Oryzias latipes: one gene and its partner. The protein of the gene in region 1 purifies or fractionates together with the protein of each later gene. This does not show direct contact. Links are inferred from orthologs where the notes say so. Each region holds a gene or a part of one and is shown on either strand. Other genes may lie near its edges. The genes, in order: mpdz and plekha2.

Region 1 (3,824 bases):
CCTGAAGCAGCGACGCAGGACACCGTGACAGAGGAGGGGATAGGATCTTCCTTGGCAATGTGGGAGTTAGAGATCCAGAATATTGAGCTGGAGAAGGGAGAAGGAGGATTGGGATTCAGTATTTTGGATTACCAGGTGTTAAAATCCTCCGTGATTCTCATGAGTTGCTCTTTGGACGCCTGCATTTATCCTTGTTTGCTGTCGGTGCAAACCCCTTTCTGCACAGGACCCGCTGGACCCTGCCAAGACGGTGATTGTCATCCGCTCTTTGGTCCCAGACGGCGTCGCCGAGACGGATGGCCGACTGTTGCCAGGAGACAGACTCATGTATGTCAATGACACAAACCTGGAGAACGCGAGTCTGGAGGATGCCGTCCAGGCCCTGAAGGGGGCCAAGCTTGGCAAAGTCCAGATTGGCGTCGCCAAGCCGCTGCCTGTAAGCCTGAGTGTTAGTATCCCGACTTTTGTCTTTGTTTCACACCTATCTGAATTTAGAGATTAGGCCGTGATGAATGTGCGCGCTTTTATGATTGTTGCACGTGTGTAATTGTGCAGCAGAATAAGATGGATCACAGTAGTTGTGTTTGATGTGGAGCTGTAGTTTGTATCGTAGCTTCCAGTCCAGTGTTCTCAGCTTACATGAGCTGAAATTTTGATGTGGGGAAGAGAAGGTGAGGTTGGCTGCATGGAGTTGAATTTCTCCCAGTGTTCTTGAATAATTTGCACCTTTTGCTTCCCTCAATCAAGTTTAAACTGTTTCTTAATCTGTCAAACCTCTGGGGGGCCACATGTATGAAACTTTACATGATGAGGAAAAAGTCTGAGGACTTGCATATTATACACAAACCGTATTCTCCGCTCTAGCAGGTGCACCTAAAAGACTGTTCATTACCTTCAAGTCTGTGTTTTTACAAGATGGAAACAGGTTGCATGGAATTGCTAATGGGCTAACGGGCTAACTTGTAGCGGTGTCAGGCTGTGTTTCTTTTTTTTACATGCTATAAACAAAGTTGGAAGTTGGTGTAGTCACAGTTTGTTTTAGTGGAATTATTCTGTTTTTTACGTGTTACAAAAAAGAGTTGGATTTACAGGTATTAATGCGGCTAACACTTCTTACCTGACTAACGTGTAGCAGTGTGAAACATGTAACTAGCAGGATTGGGAGTTAGAATTGTCGCAGTAATGTTTGTTTTAGCTGTATCAGTCTGTGTTTTTACAAGATGGAAACAGGTTGGATGGAATTGCTAATGCGCTAACAGGCTAACTTGTAGCTTGTAGCTTGTGTTTCTATTTTTTTATTTTTTTCATTTTCGTTTCACCAACAAAATTCCTACTTAGTGTGTCACAGTAACGTTTCTTTTTATTGAACACAGCTCTTTTTATCCTAACACCTCTAACGTGGCTAACGTATATATATATATACTGACCAAAAATATAAACGCAACACTTTTGTTATTGCTCCCATTTTTTATGGTATATACTCAAAGATGTGAAACCTTTTCAACATACACAAAATAACCAGTTCTCTGAAATATTGTTCACAAATCTCTCTAAATCTGTGATAGTGAGCACTTCTCCTTTGCCAAGATTGTAAAGTAATGTAGTCAATCCCGATCAAGAAACTCTATACAGTTTTCAGGAAGTGCTGGGGGCCTGGGAGCTAAGAAAATTTTCCTACAGGCCGCATTTGGCCCACAGTCCGGACTTTGGACATGCATGCTATAAGCCATTGGTGCCACTTTTGTTCTTTTTTGGGAGTGTTTCTGTCGGTTTGAAATTCTTATGTCTGGGATTCGCAACCTAAGTGTGCTCCCTTGAAACGTCATTGGTCCCACAGCACAGAAATAAATGAAGAACACTGTTAGACTTCATGGTGCATTTGTTTAAAAAAATATATCTTTAAAATTTACAGTGATTTAAAACACATTATGTTGACTTTTAAAAAGATTTATACATGTGGCCCCAACGCTGTTAGTTTTTGCATCCGCTTGTTTTATTGGTTCAGGGTGTTTCTTTCTTCAAAGACAGTTTGCATTCTTTTAGCTGCAGAGCTGCATTTTCTTTTCTGGTTATTGAATCAACCGCGTGAGACCTCTGGGCGGCCAGGGTTAGCCAGCTCACACAACCCATAGGGAAGTGCTCCGGGAGGGGATATTTCGCTTGCACGGCCTCTCAAAATTGAACCTGACGCGTGTAATCCTCCATATATTTCCTCTCGCTTCCTCGTGCATCTCTCTGGCACTTGCATGCCCCACAAAATCAAAAGCGCCAGGAACTTGAAGCCCAACTGCGTAGAGTTCAAAAGCTCCCAAATTCCTAACAGTCTCCATCTTCATTTCATACTAATTCATTCTTTATATTTGATGAAATTCACTTATCCAAAAGTAGAAAGACTGAAAGCCTTTCTCCCACTTTCCTAGGGAATATGTGGATATTCCCACTCTCTACACCCATATGGTGACCAGAAAGTAACTCCATCTTCCATCATCCATCAGTCATTTGACTTCAGCAATGTTTTGATTGAAGAAGGAGAGGAGGAGGGACTGGCTGAGGGCGTCCTTTACCGAGCTGAACCTGCATTGGTTAGTTAGTTAGCTGTATGAAAAAACAAAAAAAACAAAAAAACGGAAATGACTTTTTCAAATGATTAAATAAGGTTGAATAAAGAACCATTTTTAAAAGTCAATCACAGTGGTCCCTCGTTTATCGCGGGAGTTACATGCTAAAAGTAACCCACGATAGAAAATCTGTTATTCTCAAAACAGCCGTCTGTTCTTCGTGAACAGATGGTCGTAGCGTCTGCTTAGCTAATTTGCAAACAAACAACACTTAGATGTTGTTCCTTTGTACACTGTGAGGATGAAACACTTGTTGCCATGGATACACAACACTAATTTGACTTTGGTGTCTGGAGTTTTTTATTTTATTTTTTTTTTTTTTTAGACACACGCAGACGTAAAACAGCTAACGATATCGGTAAAACGGGATTCACGCCAGATTTTCACGGAAAAAAAGCCTATATTTGTTAGTCCGATGTGTCATTATCGGATAAAGTTACTTGATAAAGTAGGATTACTTGTGAAATCAGATCACCAACTATATTAGTGTTGTCCATGTGACCATTGTATTAGAAAACATCCTGTCAATAAATGCGCGGAAAAACGAAGAAAAAAAATAAAAAATAAGAGAAGGCAAGCAACATGGTAAACAAAACAAAACAAAAAAAATCTGAGAAGGAGTGAGACCCCTAAAGGTATAACGCGATATAGCGAGCGACCACTGTATACAAAATCAAACGGTTTGTTGTTGTTTGGGTACACCTTGATTTAAGAAACATTAGCATCTTTTCTTTATTGTCTCGACTTTGACTGGACAATACATCGTTGCAGATTGATCCTTGTGAAGGAGACCTTTCTGATGAAAGGATGTTAGATCACACCTACTCGGGGGTAGAGGAGGACACTTTCCAGGTGTCCATGATTGCTCTGCATGGGAGTGCCTGCAGCACTGACCTGGATTATCTGCAATCATCCACACCTAAGGTAGGCACATGCTTTGGGTTTGGAGGATCTTTCTTTGATGTTTATGCTACATTTTTTACAGAAATACTAGGGAGGACTTTTTCCAAATGGGACATGCTTTTAAACTTGATATACAGACACTAACCCCTCCCCCAGTGAATTCTTAAAGTGTGTTTTGTATTTTAATTGTGCTAAAATGTAGATCAGATCAAAATTAAGCACACTTTCTTTTAGCAGGCACATGGCCACTTAAAACACAATTTGACTTAAAAATCAGCTTCAAGCCAAAATGTCATTTACTCA
Region 2 (3,799 bases), on another chromosome or scaffold:
CACTTAAATAGAGCCTGGACTTGCACCAGCAGACCCTCGTAATTTGAATTAGGAAGACGGGAGAAAAGGAAGTGAACCAATGCCTCACAATTCTCACAATATAATAACAAATAGCAGCTAAACATTAATGGTATAGAAGCAAACAGGGTTAAGAGTGTGGACCTCAACAGATTCTCACAACTTTCAGAGCAGTAACTTTATTTTTATCAAAATCTGTCCTGTGAGGCAAGAGTGCTAGTGGTTAGCACTCTCGCCTCAGTCTTGCCTCAAACTGAGAAGGCCCTGGTTCAAATTCTGGCTGTGACCTTTCTGTGTGTTTCCCGATTTTGCCAGTGCCATGTGTGGGTTTTTCACCGGGCACTCCAGCTTCCACCCACAGTCCAAAAACATGCTTCATATGCTATTTGTTGTCCCTAAGACTGGCAACTTGTCCAGAGTGTTCCCCGCCTTTGGCCAACAGTAGCTGCTGTAGGCTCCATCAACCCCGTGACCCTGACAAGCATTCAGCGGGTTTGCAAAATGGAAAATGTAAGGATAGATGGACTTAGGTCTCACTGACTTGAATTGGCATTTAAATCCGGGCTTGTGCATTGTGGCAACACCCCCACGCAGACTCAGTAGTACATTTGTTATAAGCATAAAACTTAAATCGCTAAAGTGACACCACGACTTGGAAATGGAATTAAAATTCTTCCAATTTTGATCACTTGTGGCAGAAATATATATTTTTGTTCACCTATGATGGAACAAAGAAAGAAAGAAAATTGGATGTTATATTTTCAAAGCCCATACACCTCATTGGGAATAAATAAGTTAAAAAAAACACCATTTAAATTTGACTTTTTCATTTTTTCATTTTTTGCATGCTTAATGTTGAATAATGTTTCTGTGCTGTTAGCTTAGCATTAAATGAACATCATCATGTCGCTCTCTTCCCATTTTCTAAACCTTTTTTTTTTATTTTTCGGGGTCAAAGGTGGAAGATGAGTTAATCACAGCCTTTGTAGTGAAAGAAGGCCGACAGTTTACTATGGCGTATATTTAGCACTTTACTACCTTCTCAGATGGCCCAAGTAGCTTTTAAGTTGCAGTCCCATCCACACACACATTCACACACTGATGGCAGCTCCACTGCCAAACACTGGTGCCAATCTATAAGCACCAGGAGGAATGTGGGGTTCAGTGTCCAGCTCAAGGACACTTCAACACATAAGCAGGGTGGGAACTGAACCTGCAATCTTCCAATCAGAGGTCGACCGGTCTACCTCTGCACCATGACCATCCAATATGTAACCAATTGAGAGAGTGAGATCTGAACCGCCCAAAAAATCGTTGTATCAACTTCAGCTTTTTTTTTTAATCTGTTCCACAACAGAGAATCAGAATCTCTTTCATCTTTGCCACCAATTTAGCATTTGATTGTGGCTTCAGCTTAGCTTTTTTATTATTTAACCATCAGCTTATGGAGCTCTGTAGCAATCATGAGCCATTTCAACCTCAAGTCTTACATAACACTCAACAAAAACTTCTTTCAGCGTTAATCACTTTATTTTGTTCGTTCATGCAGAATGCAATAATCTTATCCCCCCCTTTCCGAGTTAAACAATGTAACATTTTTAAAAAACAAATAAATATATATGATTTTGGGTTATTACATCAATCAAAACCAAATAATTATTTGTATTGAGAAGTGTTAACTATTTTTTTAAGTATAAACAAGAGTTCAGAATGGGACCAAAATCTTCAGTTGACATGTTTACTTGAGCTTACTAAATGTTTCTCACACTTCCCTTTTTTTTCTTTTTTGCAAAGATAAACATAAAAGCTCTGGTGCTCTCAGTCGGCCTCTTTCTCTCCAAAGCACTTCCCATCTGATCAGTCAGCTGCTCTCCCAAGAGGAGCAAGAATATTATTGTTGTTGTTATGGTTACACATGGCTGTGCTCCTTTCACAAAAACAAACTGTGTAGGGTCCTAAAAAAGGAGCGGTGGTCTCACATCAGCAGCAGAGCATTCAGAGACAACATGTCAACACATCAGGACAGATGCAGCAGAAAAATTTCATGTGCTGTTTTTCATTTTCTTCCTAAGCAGCAGGACATTGTAATGATATTAAATACAGGATTTAAAAAAAAGATGTTTGTAAGCAAGACTTTTTACCTGGATATAGAACGTTCTAGAGCTGGTGATGATCTCAAAAAGATTGTCTCTGAGCAGCAGATCCCTAACAGGAGGAAAAAGTGAAAAATGACTATGTTAGTGTTCGAGGTTTTGTTATGTAATGTCTTAACATTGAAAATGAAATAAATAATTCATTAAAAGAATAATTTACGTTTAAACTTTTTTTTAAGGATTTTGACAAAATAAATGTTTTTGTGATGAGAAAGCAATAAAGAATAAAGAAATAAGATTTAATCTCTGTCAGCAAACTTAAAATCTTCACACACAAAAAAAAGATGAATTCTTTAAGTTATCACTATCAGCTGTGCTCAGTCACATTCATTGCTGAATCACGTGGTGAAAGGCCTGATCAACATGAGGGAAGCTCTGCAAAGACAGTCAGAGGTTGTTGGATGATATATAAGTTTCATACACTCACACTGCAGCAGCTCATATACACACTTGTTTTCGGCATTTTCGGTAAGTCATTTCCAAAAACTGCATTTGATTTCTATTTTTGTGAGACAGATAACCAGACAGAGAAGAAGCTAAACTGGGGAAAAAATCTGACTGTGATTCATGTCTGACTCACCCTGATTTGACGAGACATTCATGGACCTTTTGAATTTCTCTCAGCGGAACAGCTCGGAGGGGCTCCTTGTCCTGGGACACACAAACACCGCTGTCACTTAACGGCATCAATGACAGACATCAAAACAAAACAAAACAAAAAAAAGCTGTAATTCTGCTGTCTTACATTTTCAGACTTGTAGTAACAGACTGCGTTATCATCCAGGGTGAAATATCGCCTCTTCCAGCTCTTCCTCTGCAAACACACTCGGTTTATTTATTCAGACAAACAGTTACTGTGTTATGAGAGGTTGACCACTCACCACATTTCCTTGTTTAACACAGTAACCACATCTCAACACACCAGGCCTGTTCCCCTTCCTCTCCTTCCCATTTGTTTCTTCAGCGTCATTCTGAAACATTTACGAGGAAAAAAAAAAGTTATGGATTAAAAAACTGTTGCGTTCTTTTACATTAAGATGTCACAAGATTCTTGTGTAACAATGACAGTAAAGGATTTCTGATTTTTGCTGCTTAGACAGTTTGGTCTTTAAGTCACCTGAATGGGAGTGTGGACCACCACGCCGCCAATGATCTCAGTCTTGTAGGCCTGCTGCCTCTTCCCTTTGTGAGTCACGTTGATCTCAGGGGTCACATCAGGTCTCACTGGTGGGGGGCAATACTTGGGGACCTGTAATCCAGCCGTGTAATATTAAAACAAAATCCCACACAGCACTTTGAAAGATTATTTATAACAGGGCAGATCTGGATGTTAGATTAGAAAGAAAAACTCATAATTGAAGTTGAAGTGAGCTCAGTTAGTAGCATGTGAGTTCTTCAACTGCTCACAAAGACTTGCAAACTGCTAAAGATCATGAGGTCTAAAATTTCTAAACATCACTGTACAATCAACCAGACCTTTGCTTTAAATACATGAGATGCTCTGTTATTCACAGACCCGATATGAAACTTAAAAATCTTTATGAAGAAGAAATCATTGCAGAATTTACCATCAATCTAAAACAGCAATGAGATGTAAACTAGTAAATAGGTTTGTTTTAAGTCACACC

Evidence for each region.
Region 2: the proteins of mpdz (region 1) and plekha2 purify together in Homo sapiens (affinity purification with western blotting; 3 studies listed by BioGRID and IntAct, with this or other methods). This does not show direct contact. The link is inferred for Oryzias latipes from reciprocal best matches to the Homo sapiens genes MPDZ and PLEKHA2.

What each region holds. Positions count from the first base shown.
Region 1 is NC_019876.2:9,329,737-9,333,560, forward strand, and holds part of mpdz (multiple PDZ domain protein), read left to right. Parts: coding exon 1-135; intron 136-226; coding exon 227-448; intron 449-2,420; coding exon 2,421-2,582; intron 2,583-3,389; coding exon 3,390-3,542; intron 3,543-3,824. UniProt on the Homo sapiens protein: Member of the NMDAR signaling complex that may play a role in control of AMPAR potentiation and synaptic plasticity in excitatory synapses. Promotes clustering of HT2RC at the cell surface.
Region 2 is NC_019867.2:13,485,620-13,489,418, forward strand, and holds part of plekha2 (pleckstrin homology domain-containing family A member 2), read right to left. Parts: intron 3,421-3,799; coding exon 3,289-3,420; intron 3,143-3,288; coding exon 3,053-3,142; intron 2,986-3,052; coding exon 2,917-2,985; intron 2,823-2,916; coding exon 2,752-2,822; intron 2,224-2,751; coding exon 2,160-2,223; intron 1-2,159. UniProt on the Homo sapiens protein: Binds specifically to phosphatidylinositol 3,4-diphosphate (PtdIns3,4P2), but not to other phosphoinositides. May recruit other proteins to the plasma membrane.